Linked DNA regions of Arabidopsis thaliana. The protein of the gene in region 1 interacts with the protein of each later gene in a pairwise test. Each region holds a gene or a part of one and is shown on either strand. Other genes may lie near its edges.

What was found.
Region 2: the proteins of AT5G62890 (region 1) and SSI2 interact in a protein complementation assay, tested with the Arabidopsis thaliana proteins (one large-scale study listed by BioGRID).

What each region holds. Positions count from the first base shown.
Region 1 is NC_003076.8:25,239,676-25,248,773, reverse strand, and holds AT5G62890 (Xanthine/uracil permease family protein), read right to left. Parts: upstream 5,627-9,098; 5' UTR 5,236-5,626; exon of another isoform or gene 5,080-5,235; 5' UTR 5,052-5,079; coding exon 4,943-5,051; intron 4,426-4,942; coding exon 4,328-4,425; intron 4,230-4,327; coding exon 4,053-4,229; intron 3,930-4,052; coding exon 3,829-3,929; intron 3,703-3,828; coding exon 3,627-3,702; intron 3,544-3,626; coding exon 3,484-3,543; intron 3,381-3,483; coding exon 3,196-3,380; intron 3,034-3,195; coding exon 2,937-3,033; intron 2,823-2,936; coding exon 2,736-2,822; intron 2,650-2,735; coding exon 2,591-2,649; intron 2,502-2,590; coding exon 2,410-2,501; intron 2,316-2,409; coding exon 2,077-2,315; coding exon of another isoform or gene 2,026-2,076; exon of another isoform or gene 1,918-2,025; coding exon 1,699-1,917; 3' UTR 1,397-1,698; downstream 1-1,396.
Region 2 is NC_003071.7:18,116,559-18,124,315, reverse strand, and holds SSI2 (Plant stearoyl-acyl-carrier-protein desaturase family protein), read right to left. Parts: upstream 4,444-7,757; 5' UTR 4,210-4,443; coding exon 4,070-4,209; coding exon of another isoform or gene 4,066-4,069; intron 2,963-4,065; coding exon 2,458-2,962; intron 2,382-2,457; coding exon 1,821-2,381; 3' UTR 1,427-1,820; downstream 1-1,426. Other genes in the region: AT2G43720 (FAM136A-like protein (DUF842)), read right to left, coding at 17-199, 492-629, 901-1,023; AT2G43700 (Concanavalin A-like lectin protein kinase family protein), read right to left, coding at 5,817-7,757.

The DNA of each region.
Region 1 (9,098 bases):
ATTATATATACTCATCATTTTATTTCTATACAATAACTATAAGTATAAGTTTTCATGTTATTATTTCATTTTGTCATCATCAACTATTTTTCGTTTCTATGGAAAAAAAAAAAGTGGTGTGGAAGAGGTTTTATTTATATATGTATCTCCATTATTCGATAAATGGTTTAACATTTAACAAACAAACAAGAAAGAAGAGATAGAATAATGATCGTAATTGCTTAAATGATTATTATGTTTTAGAGTGTCCGTACAGAGCCCCAAGTGTTTGCTTGGCTGGAATCTTTCACGAAAAGTAGATTCCAAGCAAAAATAATAGTTAAATCTTTAAGCCTTTGATACTACGAATCTATTTATTAACATTTAAATTCTTGTTCATGCTATATCATTTAGCTTAGGTTCAACCTCTGAAGAAATTCATAGTAAATCTCTACTTCAGAAATTAGTCACTATCTTTTTTAGATATACACATAACTTAATATGTGTAAATCAGTGTATATATACACCACCTATATATAAATCTCTAGGAAAAGTCTATAGTCTTCATACATCTAAAGTTAAAGTATCCACAAACTATTGGACCACAATTTAGATAATACTTTCATCCAATTTCCTACTTTATGTTCTGTGTTCATTTTTCTCCTAGTATAGTTGTATTGTTTTAAGTAAATACTACAACTAACAAATTATAGAATGTAGCAGCTGTTTATAATTTATAATATAAAAATGATCAAAAACACATTTGTAGTTATATAATTTAAACATTCAAATTTTCAATTCAATACGTAAAGATCAATAGTTGCAGAATAATAAACAAACAAATTTTTTTTTTGTCAACTAAATAAAAAGCAACTTTATAAATCATATTTTTCTTAAGCAATGATGAGCTTTTTGTGGAAATTAAAATAAGGAAAATGACAACCAAAAATGAAGTAAGAATAATATTCCCCTCGTGCAATCAACCTTATTCACATGCTTACTGTACACTTTATCTCGATCTCCTGAAAGCCTGTGTCGTATTAATCGTTAATTATTCAACAAACTTACTTAATTACGGAATTAAATCGATCTGCCTTACAAAACAAAGTAATCTTAACTTTTGCGTGTCCATTAATTTAGATGATAACATACAAAAGTTGCCTTATTAATGTCTCTCTATACTATTTTATTGATCAGAGAACAAAAACCTCACGCAAGAGTGAAAGGTCGCTCTATTTTATATGACCATTTTTCCCTTTTTTTTCTCTACACATATGACCAAATTAATAAGAAAAAACAACTAATTAATTGTAATTATCTATTGAAATTAAATGTTATATGTCAATTCTCGTTAAAGTTCAACCAATCAGGTTTCCTAAGCTTCTAAATCAAGACTTTGGAGTGAGAAACATATAAAAAGAAAAATTAAGCTAAAGATTTGTTTAGAAACTAATCAAAATCACAAAGTAGTGTTTCTGTTCCCTCGGATTTACAAAGACAAAAGCATTAGAGAGAGAGTAAACAACAATGCTCTTTAAGAAGATTCATCATTCTTGTAAATAAGACTATAGAATGTGATGAGATATTTAAAGTTTCCAAAGTTGTGAAAGGAACTGAACAAACGAACCACGACACAGAGGCCAAGTCAACAATGGCGAAACTCGAGTTTTCACCATTTTCTTTGTTTTCCAGTTATCTTTTTTGCTCTTCTCTTCCCTTTTAGACAGATGGGAAGTACTTGTTGAGATTGAAAGGTAGAGAGTAGAATTCTTCACTTCTTGTGTCACCTTTGAAAGATCTAAACTTGTCCCACCAATGCTTCCCTCTGTCTTTCCTTATCGAAGAGTCTTTCTTGTGCAGTGTGTTGTCCAAGAAGAAGGCGACGCTTCCAGCAACAAAAGGCTCTGAGGAGAACGGGACATTTACCATATCGTTGAACTGTCAAATATGTAAGAGAATAAGATTGTTTCATTAGTTCAGGCCATGCTAAACTCGAATCTTTGCTATGGAGTTTTAGGGACCTTAATAGATCATTCTACCATAAACCTATTTCAATGGAAAGAGAAGCAAAAATAACAGTGACTTGGTTCTACATACCCAACGAGCCCCAGTGTGGACCGGACCATATCCTTTGATTGCGGTGTACTCATTGAAGTATTGAGGGATGGACAAGCCCAGGAAGACAGAGAAACCTAAGATGAACTTGGTCCTGAAGCTGTTTAAGTTGCAGAATTGAAGGAAACTCAAACCTCCAGCTCCCACGTATGCGAAGAAGAGACAGTATAAAGCAGCAATGATGGGCGCAGGAATTGAAGCAAACACAGCTCCAAATTTTCCTGCATTAACAGGATGGATCTCATCAGTACAGATAAAATTTCAAACAAAAGTAATTCCTTTTATTTGTTAAAAACAGAATAGAACAAAACTAACCGAGAATAGAGAAGAATATCATGAAGCCTGCAGCTATCTGGACAACCCTTCGACTACCAACTCGTGTCAAGGCCAATAGTCCGGCATTTTCTCTGCACAAAAGAGAGAAAAATCAACTTTCATACCAAAATATCCAGAGAAAGTAATCAAATCAGAACATGTAAATCTCAGAGATGCTTACACAGAGACAGAGGAACCAGCACCAGTACCAAACAATCCTGATATCAGAATCGCAACTCCCTGATTCACAAAACAAAACATAATCACCTCAGAATTCTTTCAATATCGATTCAGCAACATTATAACTTCAAGTATAGCTGAGTTACCTGCCAGCCAATACCGCGGCTGAGAATAGAAGGTGGCAACATCGTTGCACTTGCGTATCTTGACACCGCGACAAAAGCACCGGTTGACTTTAAAGATCAGCCAGACACAGAATAAACAAGAAACCAAAATGAATAAACAGAACAACAGAGCATAATCATTATATTTTGAAAGATTAAAATGTGAAGAAGATAACCACAGACCTCAACTAGAGCAACAAAAGAAGCCATCATCATTGCAAAAGCTTCTCCAGCATCAAACGATGGGGCACCCCACTGGAAAGGCCATGGAACTCTTATCCTAAGTACAAAGAAACTAATGTTAACAACGAATCCAATGAGATCACATTTATCTTCTGATACTCTATTCGTTCATGTTCTTTTGTTCTGTTTAAACTGGAAATTTTTAGTGGAAATGGTATTTTGGGAGCTACATATTTTGAGCTTTGTTGTAACCACTTACCATGGGGCAGCACCTATGATTCCAGCACGATCTGTCCGGCAACTTGTTTGAGTAGTTGGTGCAGCACCATTGTAGGCCCCACCAACTGTAAGAAGATGAGCATAGATCCACACAATCACCACCGCGAATATCACAGCAAATCGGTCAAACACATTTTTCCCTGATTTGATCACATGAGGCAGGTACTGTAACAGGAAACATGAACACATGAAATCAGGTAAGTTAAAAAAAAAAAAAAGATTTTGGGAGTTAGACAGGATTAATCTGTAAGTAAGTTAAAAAGATTACCTGTGAAACGAATACTAGAATAAGAAGCTCAGGCAGTCCAATCTCTATGCATTTAGCAACCTAAAATGTAAAAAGGATATCAACAACTAAAAGAAATAAGAGTTTCTGGTCTGCTCGTAAGTGCTCATATAGAGTAGACTTACCCCCGGGAAACCAAACTCATACAGCCCAAAACCAACGAGACCCACCAGTGGAACAGCTGAAATAGGACTTAAGAACCTGAAAATGAAATACAAAAGAAATTACATCACCACATCGTCATTGTAATTCTGAAGACATGTCTGAGAAATCTATTGCTGTGTAAGCAAATCGAATGTCTGAGACCATTTTTTCCTCGAGACTAACCTAACAACATTACGCCAGAGACCACTGAAACCAAGAATCATCTGCAGGGTAGAAGCAACAATCAAGGCGCCTTGGGTTGCCCGCATTATCCTCTCAAAGCGCTAAACAAAGCAATTTAAACATATTCTTTGTTGTCATAATAGCACCAAGTAAGGGCCATAGAGATGAAATCAAAGAAAGAAAAAATTCCCATTTCACAATGATAAAGCAGGAAGTAATCATACATCTATAGGGTTCGAGGTATCACTGAATCTGCCAGAGAGGATTATGGATATCGTTGTTGGCACGAATGTGTAGGAAGCTCCAACAACAGCAGGCAATCTAGTACCGAACAGTGTTTGGAGCAATGTGTTGATGCCAGCAACAAAGAGAATAGTCTGGATCACCTTTGCCTTCTCTTCCTGAAATTAGAACAATAGAAAATCAAAATCATTTTCAGTCACTGACATCATTTGATTCATCTTCCTCTTTACTACAAGTTAAATCGTTGAGGCCTTACATATCCACCTCCCATCTGGGGAACAAGAGCAGTAGGTATGAGCACCGTTGTCCCAAGCATCACAAGGTAATGTTGGAATCCAAGAAGAATAGCTTCAGCTGAAACACAAGCATGAAAAATGTAAGTCTTTATGAAAAACTGCAGAATTCCAAAGGAACTCATTGCAAACACCAAAAATTGTATGTTTCAAAAGAAGATAGAAGCACAGACTAATGTGATTGAACATATGTAAGAGATAATGGTTTCCGACATTGTAAAAAACTGGTACATCAAACAAAGCTTATATTCGGTTCACAAGCATCCCACCCAGAGATTAGTTAACAACAGAAGAAAACCACAAATTTGCCACAGATGCAACAAATTAGGAAAGAAAATCTCCAGCTTAAAAGCAAACTGGGAATACAAATCTTACTAAAAATAAAGGTCTAAACGAGTAAAACAAGAGTAAATCTCAGGTCGAGACATTGTTAAGAAGAACAAAGCCGAATAAAGAGAAAAAAACCTAACATCTACACACACCACCGACAGATAAAGCCGGAAAAACCTCGAAATAAAAATCAAAGAGCTTTAATTTCAAAACTTAGAATCAGAAAACAAGTAGGAAGAAGGTCTCACGCCAAGGAGGAGGACTGGTGATGCAATAAGAAATGTTGGGAAGTTGATCTTTAGGAGGATGTGGTTGTGGTTCGTCTGCTTTGGGTGCTGGAGCTCCACCCCCTGCCATGATTCCTTCCTTAAATCTCTCTCTCTATCTACACAAACACAAAAAAGCACCAAACTTTAGTATGATGAACACGAATAAGAAAAAACCCAGATCGGGGAATCTACTAGCAATGTGTAAGCGAAGCACAAATCAGTGCAAAAAAGGAATTGACAAATCGGAAAAAGAAAAGTGATAAGAAACTCACATCAATGGGAGCTTGTGGGAAAGAGAGGAAGAAGACGAATGAAGTAAAGGAGACGATGAGAGTAAACAGCAAGCCAGAGAGAGAGAGTGTGAGAGGTTTAGGTACAAAAGGTAAAGCCACACATACACAGACACAGAGAGAGAGAGAGGGAGAAAATAAAAATGTGAGCTTTTATTTATTTTTCTGCAAAACTCGAGGTGTAAAAAAATACAATTAATATTGGAGTCAATTTTTTTATGAATGGAACGTGTAATGTGGACAAATATTGTTGTTAGCAAAATTAATGAACAATTTATTAACTAAAGGCGGTTCTTGATTTGGTGATTGGAGTTATAGATGAGAATTATATGCTTAAAGCTAACCAAATAGTATCAGATTTATATTATTTTTGTTTGGGGGTCAATAGTAATCATGGATTTTGAAGAATCAATTAGGAAGAGCGGTGGTGAAATTAGCGCCGTATGAATTTTTTATAAATAAAAAATGTTTGTTTTTGAAAGAGGAGTAATAAATGATTAATTAATAAAGAAAATAAAGATGAAAGTGATGTGAACAAAGGAAGAGACGAGAGGAATCTTTTCTTCTTTAAAGTATTTTTATTGCATTTTGAAAAGTCATAGTCTTTTCTTGTTAAGTAAAGTTTGTTAAAGTTTTAACCTATCTCTAGAGGCTTGACAAAAACAAAGTTAATAGTGAGATTTGTTCAAATAAAGTAAATCTTTCAATAATTCTGTTGTTGAAACTTGTCAATGATAATTCTTGCATTACTTTTTTGATACACATTTCTAAGTGTCGGGTTAATTATAGTTAAAAAAAATTAACAACTTTCTTATTTTGGTTTATACGATTTCCCAAATATAATACGGTAGCTGTGGGATTTTTTCCCAAGTTTAGAGATGATGGAATGGATTATGATGTTTGAGTTCCAAAACTCCCAGCTTATACTACACTCTTAATTAGTTGAAGTTGCAAAATATATGGTACTCAAAAGATGATGTTTCATACGCTTTGGTCTAATTTCGAACCATCAAAATTTTACTTTACTCTTTTTAATCCTTTTCTAGTTTTTTTTTTTTTGTTTAATGTCCATATGATTTTGATTTCAAGTCGAATGTACATTAGAATATATAAATTCCTTGTGAATTCTATTAACGACACGGATGTTATTCTTTGTAGGCATCATTTGAAATCATCAATCTCTTTTGATTTTATATTAAGAATAATATAAAAACGATTGGAGAATCTTATTAAGCATACTTTATTATAGTATTGTCCAAATTATATACATACGCATCAAACAAAACTAGAGATAACGAGAAAAAAACACAGAAAAGATAATTGTCACGTCTACTTTTTTTCTTGTAGTCCCGTGATCCATATATAAAAACAATTATAAAGATACTTTAACTTTAAAGATAATTTGTTATCGAATTTAGTGGGACATTATATATTCTAGTGCCTGATAGAGTGATAGGACTCGAGATTTAATCTCGGCACTAAACTTCTTTAATACGATTTCATTAAGATAAACAAAGTTATCAAGCTAATACTACTATTCAAGAGGAAATGTGTATATTTTGACTTTCTAATACACTGAGTCATGTTTGTTCTAATTCGACATTTTGTCAAAAACCAGTGATGCATCGTTTTCAATTTATCAGTGTTTACGTCGGTAATAACTATAGTACATAACTATTTTGACCTAAACTCAGTTTTCTATTGCCGACAATTTTTTTATTTATCATCTTTTTTTCTTCTTCTCCAGATAATCAAATACTACATGAACTAAAAACTACATAAAAACAGTAATGTTTAAATTGATATTTTTCACATTATAGATGGACAATAGCAAGTGTAGCAACACGTACGGTTACCTGTTTATACCCAAAATATACTTCTGAAAATTATTGAGTCTTTAATAATTGGGATATATTCAAAATGTCATGCATGTTTTGTTGAATGGATCTCTTCAAAATTTTCTCGAAGGTCATATACACACGTTATCCATGATAGCCTTTAAAGCAACACACAACAGTAAAACGAGATGTGCATAGATTATTTACGTCATTCATATGTTACACATAATTAAGTTTGAATATCCGCCACGTGGATATGAAAGAAAAAAATTCGTAATTAAATTTGATGGTTAGCTTGCTAAATTGTTTGAAGGAATTTTTTGGCACGTGATGGAAAATCTAGCCTGAAACATTATAGTAGTAGTGATAAACTATTGATTAGTCAATCAAGTGTGTAAGCCACTTGATATTAGTGAGAGCGAGTTTTCATAGTATTTTTTAAAAACACCACCGATAATGACCACATAATCATTGAGTTTGGGAGACTCACAAGTTGGTGTCAAGTTGATAATGACGCGATATTCTGAATTTTTTTTTTGTATTATCGTAGATCGTAGTATTACTTTTGTCTTTAGTTAATACATAATGGCCATTACATTATATAATTTAGTCTAAATCAGTTATGGTTTAATTTGTTCCGAGTTTCTTTTTGCCACAAAATTAGTTAACACAAATGTCCACTAAAATAACTATAGTCCGCCGAATTGGGAGCATTATTGACCTGTGTAACTCAGTCAAAATCGGCCTAAAAAGTGTGACAATATTTTTTTTTTAAAAGTATGCTAAGAAATTAAAAGCCGAAAAATAAAAATGGAAGAAATATGAATTTAATTAAGAAAAAGTGGGGACTGGGGAGAGTAAGCACATGGGGTGGGAGAAAAATCTTTCTGGCTTTACTTTTGGGAATTACGCAAAACTCTCTTCATGTGCCATTCTTTACTTTTTCCCCCACATAATTCCATTTTTTTTTTCAAGATTTGCAATCTCATCGAAATTAATGGCTAACAACACATGATGAATATGATTGATAAACAAACATTTTCATGAAAATTTGGTGCATATGAGCTAAAATGTTGAAGACAAAAAAATATATACATAATTGTGGCTGAAACGATGGGTAGATGTAGGGTGTGAGCAAGAGAGACACATGCATGATGCACCCAATATAGAATCTTATAAAACATTGGCTAGATGAGATGGACAAAGTCCATTTTTACTCTTTGTAGTCCAAATAAACCGAATCCGGTTACAAATCCTAGTATTTAGAGTTCATAATATGGTTGTTGTAGATGCATTAAGAATATGATATATTTGTAAATTAGCTAAAGGTTTATGTACATTTTAGATTTCCTTTTTAAAATTGTTAAATAAAGCAATGACATGGTTGTAACTATTAAAATTTGTCAATGGTAAAAAGAAGTTCAAAAGTGTTACTTTTCTTAACACGCGTTGATAGTGTTATCCTTACAGCACTTTTTGTTTTGTTTGAATGAGCTAGTTATTATACTTTATAAGTAGTATAATCTCGAATAAAGAATGTGAAATTTTGAAGAGGAAAAAAAAAGGTTGGCTACTTGGGTCATGGTTGGTTTAGATTAACGAGCCCTCTCCCTGCTCTTCCTGTCATTCTCTCTTCCCCATACCCAATAGAAACTTGTGTGTTGTAACTCCGATCTCACCAACTCAAATAAATAAGTAATCATGTTCTTGTTGTTTCTAATTTATGACTTGATGTGTAAGTGTCGCATATCTTTTAACCTTGTCCGGTTTATATATTTCTTTTGCTTTCTTTTACGAAGGAAATGGTCTTAAGTAATAAAAATATGCTTTTATCTGCCTAACAGAAAAGCCTGCTTTCACGTCAAAAAGAAATCAAGAAAAAGTTGCTTTTTCCAAAAAGAGCTAAAAAAAAAACAGAGAGAGGTACACCGGAAAAACAACAACAGAAAGAGTTACATTTAATTTGGCCCGATTAAAGCCCATTTATGCTCTTACAGGCTCTCTCGG
Region 2 (7,757 bases), on another chromosome or scaffold:
ATAATCGTTGGAGAGCTCAGTCTGTGATTGACAAAGCTTTCTTCATTCTTGAGACGAGATTAGGCAGAGTCTTCACAGCTTCATCAACAGTTTGGTTTACACAATGCTCCAAATCATTTACCGCTTCACTTCTCGTCTTCTGTTGCTTAGCAACCTCAAACTTGTCTTGACAAACCACAAGAGATCTATTCAACCTCTCCTACATTCATCAGTAAAACCAAAACACCATCTTGAATATCTAGTACTCAAACCCAAGCGCTGTTGTCATGTAATAGAGAATCCAGGAGACAACAAACTAAACTATCTTCATAATAACACATTTGAAAAACAAAAGTTTCAGACCAATCACTAATCATCCATCAACCTCTAATAGAACAAGAAAAAGACTTTAAGACTTCAATCACCAATTTTCCAACGTTCATGGGCATTTGTAAATTTTGCTGTATCAATCTCAAATTGTAACTGGAAATAAAGTTGAGAAATAGACTCACTTGGAACACCGACATCTCATTATCAAAGTAGTTCTGTGCATTTGTGATAGGAACACTGCAACTCTCTGCACATCGACTAATCTCAGCGTGTGTTCTTGTCCTATCAAAGCACTCGTATGCACATTTGAAATATGCCTTCTGCATCAACACAAAAGCACAAAAATAACTAACTCTTATATAAATCTCAAACTACGCAGTAAGCAAACTAAGTCCAAGTACATATCCAATGGCTTCTTCGAAGAGTATACACAGAGAACATAACTTTAGGAATTTAGCAACTAGGAGAAAGAAAACTGAGTCTAGGGAGCTGTGAAAAATCCACTTTGTTTCTTCAATTTTAGAAAGAAGACATCAAAATTTTCAAAAACTTTTTTTTTTGTTTGAGAGAGAGAGAGAGAAAGAGACGAACTTGAAGGGTGAAATTGATGTGGTCTTGTACTGGAGAAAGAAGAGACTGCGACGCAGAACTGACTTCGTTAACTTTCTTTCTAATCCTCTCTCTCACCATCTTCTCCTCCGCCGTTTGATCCATTTTTTCCCGGCGAGTTGATTTATTAGTTCAACTTTGCTCTCACAATGATTCACTCGAAAAAGTTTGGAATCTTTACTTGCAAAAAAATTAGACAAAAAAAGACTGAAAAAGAGAACATTTTTTTACTCCTTCCCCAAGTTCTCATAGGTAGCTTCAACCGCCTCCCATCTCTGAAACACTACCTTATTTGGGCCTAGCCTCTTTTAAATTGGGCCCATTTACGAACATTATCATCTCCTTTAGTCTGGCTCAAGCATGAAGTTACCTCAACAGCCGTCTCTGTTTCTTCTTTCAAAATCTATCAACTTCTCACTTTTTTTTTGTCAAGGGTTTCATTATTATTGACTTTACATTAATTTATAGAGATAAGCATTAAGCATGATCGTCAAACATTGACCAATTAGTTAAATGTAAACTGACATTGAAGATATTCAATTATTCATCATGATCATCCATCAAAATTGCTAAAAAGCCACATGAGTTGTTTGTCGAGAAACAGGGGAAAAAACAGAGAGACAAAACAAAACTAACCTGAACTTAAACAAAACTCCACAGAGAAGAGGAAGACTGAGTACAGACCATACTTAAACTGTTTTAACTACTACAAGTGTGCTAACGGACCAAAGACCAAACATATAGTGACTGGGAAAAACAAAGCTACTAAATCACTGCATCTCAACTTTGTAACTAGACCCACCAACATTATCAGAAAACCATAGTAATCTACACCAATTTTAAGAGCAGACAGATGAAATGAGGAACCGGGAGGATAGGTTTTTGTTTTTGTCTTTGTCCTTTTAGAGCTGCACTTCTCTGTCGTGTATCCAACTGAAAGGAATCTTGGGTCCTTTCTTGGCTCTTGCTTGAGCTCTCTCATCCAATCTCTTGATCCTTGGAGCCAACCCGCATAAATAGTCTTGTGCTTTGTTTCCTTCACCTGAAAGCCCGGTTAAGTCCTGGATTTTCCACCTACCAACCAGAAACTCAAGAATGTCTGCATAGTCTTTGGCGGTGTAAACACCGAGCCTCTGAGCCACGGAAGAGAAGTTGTCAAAGAGGTTGTCGTTGCGCCCATCATACATCAAGTGAGCAGGCATTGAGATTTTCTTTCTCATCATGTCTGCAAAAGCCATGACAGTACCATCAGGATCAATCTCAAAGAGCTTTTCAACTATCTTGGTGTATGCTGTTTCATGACGCTTCTCGTCTGCAGCTATTGTGCCACATATTTGGGCTAGTTTGATGTCCCCGTGCTCTTTGGCTTGGCGGGCTGTGTTTCCGTGAGAGATGAATGTCGCTCTTTCTTGGAATGACGTATAGATGAAGCCAAGGTAGGGGTTATTCTCTGTCCGCGGATCCTATGAAAGATAAGTTAAAGCGATTAGGTAGTTATATTAACCAAGAAATCATGATAATTGCCTGAAACTATCTCACCATTCCAGATCCAATCAAGTACTGAATGGTCTTTTCGATCTGCCTCATGTCAACACGACCAGACAAGTAAAGGTATTTATTCAGAAGATCGCCATGTCGGTTTTCTTCTGCAGTCCAAGCTCTGGTCCAAATAGCCCATGAAGTAGGACTAGCACCTGTTTCATCCCTAACTCCATCCAAAGTGTTCAACATAGTTTGATAGGTCGGAAGTGCTTCTTCTGTGATCATGTCCCCCACCAAAACAACAAAGTAATCATCAGGGAGCTCTCTAGCCCTCTCTCTTAACTCTCTTACCTGATCTTCAAACCCATCTGATGCAGGGTCAGGCAAGAAATCCTGGGGTTGCCAAGACTTCTCCACATCCTTGAGGTGAATCAGAAGGTTCTCCTCGGCCCAGTTTTCCATAGATTTGAAGATCTCGATCTTTTGAGGTGGCATGGAGTGCAAGACTTGAACATGCACTTCCCTGGGTGGCGTAAATGGTTTCTTCAAACTCTCAACCTCCCTGCATTAACCAGAAAATAAGTATCATTAGCATTTAATTATGCTCCATTGAAATTACCAGTCAAGGTCTCATCTCTGATACACAACTGAAACAAGAACACAGTTTATTGTATTTAGATAAGCATTCATGTCTACATTTCCAAATCAACTAATTCTATGTTTGAAGCGAAACAATTTCACAATTCATGACTAGCAAACACTTAGAGATGGTTAACCGTAAGACAATATTTTATATTTGCATTCATGGATTGGTCTTGCAGTTCAATATGAAGCAAAAAAGAAAGATTGTGAAAGAAACAAATGTAGTGACTACTGATCAGACAAAGACAAGATAAAGAGCCAAATGTCTTCAAAACAGAGAAAGAATGAATAATAAATTACAGAAAAGTGTGAAAATTTTGGACGCAAACTAAAGAGAGAAGCCACGAAGTACGCATGCATAGAGAAAGGCCACGAAGCGTGATATCCAACGTAATGTCTTTGAAGAAAGATAAACAGACGTAAACTGATACGTTCAAGAATCTCTTGTCAATACAAAAGAGAAAACTCATCAAATGAGTAAGAAACAAGTGGATAAACATTTCACCATTAAAAATTACTAAACCAGAGAAAACAAAACAAAACTTTCTCTTTGACTAAGAAGCTTTCCTCAATGTCTGTTAAGTCTTAACCAATCTAAAGATCATTATACCATAAAGAAGATAACTAGTGTTAATCTTAACTAACAACCAATCAACGAGCAATCTACATAATCTGATGCAGAATAAATATGGTAAAGGCAACGATTTGATAGATGGGGCAATCTCAGAGAAACGTGAGAATAATAGGGAACAATCAACAAACATCAGATTCAATGAAAAAGAGCATTAATGAATCACCTGAGAACAGAGGATGGCCCATTCTTATAAACCCAGATTAAAAGAACGTACTTTTATTGAAATCACACTCGAGATTAAGCAAATGTAAGCAAATAACACTGAACAAAATCGAGAAAACGTAGATCCAATATCGATAAGAACAAGCAAAACCCAGAACACAGTAAACAAAGATGAAACAGAGAGAATCGAAAGTAGATAAGAGAGACGATGATGGAGAGAAAGAGACTGACTTGGGGCCGGAGCTGAGAGCCGGAGAAGAAGAAGCGAGGCAGAGGAACTTGGGAGATCTGAAAGAAGGAGTTGGCGGACGAGTCGAGGAAGGGAATTTGTAAGGCTGAGATGCCACCAAAGGGTTAAACTTTAGAGCCATTTCTGGATATGATGAATGAATCCTTCTTTTCTACAGAGCTAGAGCTCTCCCTCAATCTCTATCTCTCGGTCTGAGTTTGGTTCTTCTGGCTTTTTCTCTCAGGTTTAGTTTCGTCCACAGAAAGAGAATGCTTATGCACAGCGTTGAGCGTAGCAAGCAATAAGAGAGACGAAAATAAATAATTCTTTTTTTTGTTAAAAAAATTATTCTAATAAGGAAAATGACGTCATATTGTCATTTGTGTGTGAAAAACAAGGTGACAAATTATAAAAATAAATAAATTGGGTATCTGTTCTAAAATACCCTTGAGATGCTTCAATTTTGACACTATTGTTCTTACATATGTCGGTAAAATATTTGTATCAAATAATTATTAGTCAACAATAATGATCAATGATACATCAAAACATCGAGTAGCTAAGTAGCAGTATACTAAATATTAATATAGTTGAGAAAAAGTTGCAAGAAAAAAAAGGGATACATCTTGAAAAGAATTGTTGATTAAAAATTCTTTTATTGAGTTGAATAGTAAAGTTGAAAAAATTGATTACTTTTGAGCACCTATGTCAAAGATGATTATGATTCATGCTTAGTCTCTTTCACTCATGACTTGTGCTAATTGTTAGATGACTCTCCTATATGTGTGATAATTTGGTATTAGATCTATGAAAATTGATGAGCAATGAGAAGGGGTAAAAAGGTCAAAACAAAATATAAAGTGTTTATATTAATTTATGTGAGTTTTGTAATAATCGACGTACTCGGGCGTGAGAATCCACGTAAAAGCCAAATAAGTTTGAAGCATGAAAGAGACAGAGAGGGGACAAGTGGCATAGGATCTCCACGTGGATGTCCCACTTGGCATATGAAAACTCTATAAACCGTACATTGGGTTTAATGGTTTTTTGCATTTTAGCATCATTCGATACTTTTCTGCCAAGTTTAGCTAGCTCAACGTTTTGAGTAATTTGATAGCACAACGTTTTCGGTTTTTCATTGAGACCATGACAACAAATTTAAACTTATTCTTTGTTTTCGTTCCATCACATTTAAGTGTAAACATTAATGCTTGTTTAACATCTCTTTCGGTGATTAACATTAATCAATGGAGTATATACTTCGATTAACATCTCTTTCAGTCATAAATCATAAGTGTGTGTAAACATCCCCATTGGTGTTCACCATACGTTTGTGTAAACATTAGATCTCTTAAAAATATCCAATTTATCCAATAAGTTAGCACACAGAAGAAATATGTAGACTTTTCATAGCTGAAAAACACAACAAGTACTACAACATAAAAGTAAACACAAACGCATACTTTTCAGGTCATGTGTAATTATTCCACCGCCGATATAAGTATAAACAGAAATCAAAACGATACATTCAATACAATCACCAAAATAAAGATATTTATCAAGCAAACACCGTCACATTTTTAGATTTCTCACCAAACCTCGACCATCACTTTTTACCGTCCGACGGAAGTCATCGCTTCCGTGATGGTCAAGTGTCCTTTCTGACTCCTTTGTCATCAATCGAAAACATAAAATATTTACAAACAAACATGTCATATATCATTTCACGACCGAACTCAGCATCACGTCTCAGCGTCCCCGGGAGGTAAAAGGTTCCGTTAACGTCAAGGTACCAATGGACCCTTGTGATGTCAAAACACCAAGTACACTCTCAGATGTCTCAGACCACATTCTGACCTTCTCTGCTTTGACTATATCGAGTAGATTATCTGGAAGCTGCAGATCACCACCCAAGATCTGGACCACCTTAGACATGTCTGGCCTAATTGCTACAGCCTGGTGCGAACACAACACTCCCAATTTCAAAACAAGCTCGAGCTGTTCTCTATTGTCTTCGTGACGGATTCCATCATTGACTGCCTCGAGAATATCTCCGTTTTCCCAGCACTTTAATGTCCATTCAGCTAGGACGACCTCGTCGGAGGCTGTTCTTCGCTCTATCAGCCTCCTACCGCAAGAGACTTCTAGCATAAACAGCCCGAAGGCATAGACGTCTGTCCCTGTGGTTGCTCTTCCGCTTCTTATGAGCTCCGGTGCAATGTACCAGAATGTCCCAGCAACTCTAGATGTCTGAGGATCATAACCCTGATCGTACAACTTAGCCAACCCAAAATCCCCGAGCCTTGCATTCATTTGGTGGTCAATCAGGACATTTGCCGGCTTGATGTCTCGATGAATTACAACTTGTACCCATTCATGATGCAAATAGCAGAGTGCAGAGGCTATGTCTTTGATGATCTTGAAACGTTGATTCCAAGTGAGTTGCTCTTGATTCGCTCTGTGGTAGAGGTACTTGTCAAGACTTCCATTGGGCATAAAGTCATAAACCAAGTAGAGTTCCTCCTTGTACCTACAATAACCCTGAAGCCTGACTAGGTTCTGGTGTCTAAGCCGACCAATTGTCGATATCTCAGCCAAGAATTCCTGCATTCCTTGTTTTGAATCATGTGAAATTCGTTTAACGGCAATCTCTGCATCAGAACCTGGAAGTGTACCCTTAAAGACCTGACCAAACCCTCCTTTGCCTAGAAGTTGTTTGAAACCTTTTGTGGCTTTAAAGAGTTCTTTGTAAGCAAACCTATGAGGCCCACATTGGATCTCCCATTCCTCTAGAACCTCTTTAACCTTTTTATGTCTCCTGTAGAAAAAGATACTTAAAGCTGATGCAACAAGCGCAACAAAGAGAACCAATGCCAAGCTGGTCACCAAAACAATCCGATAAACCAGAGATTTTTCCTTGGGATATGGAGGAAATGTTGGTATTCCCAAGTCCAGGTTTGGAACATCAACGCCGCCATGTACAAACCAACTCAACATGTAATGCATTGCTCTAACAGACCCCGTTGAGGCTGAGAAGCCCACATACATGTTCTCCAAAATATAGGGTGATAGATCTTGGTTCAATGAAAGAAGAGGCTTGTTCGGGTAATAAGCCTCCTCTGGTGATGATAAGGTGACATTAAGCTGTTTTTCCATCTGGCTATACAAAATCGTGACTCGGAGTAGACTTCCACTTATCAAAGAAAGATCTTTAAATTGACCTTCTTGATCATAATAACCAGCAGGAGCAAATTTGATAGACCTCATTCCGTTTATGTTGATACCAACATGGTTATCGTTAATGTCGCCAAATTCCTCATCTTTATTTATATCGAGCTCCACAGCGATGACATGATTTGAGCTATCCCCGTTGTTTGCTTTGTTAAAGATTCCAAGGTACTGATCAGCGGAGGCACCAGTAATGCCTCTTGTGGGAGAGATCACGAAGGCCATACCATGAGCGCCTTTGTGCTTATCCTCAGGGGCGATAGCAAAGAAGAACGTGACAGAGAAAGAAGTAACTGTATCGTTGGCCGAATTCTTGAAAGGGACTATCTCGTCCTCGAAGGCTTGACCATATGCGTGCTTCTTGGTGCTCGTCAACGTCCTGTAACCTTTAAAAAATCCAGCGGATCCCTGCATAACCAGTTTGCCACGGGAGTTTTCAGTACAACAGAAGAGAGCAAGGAT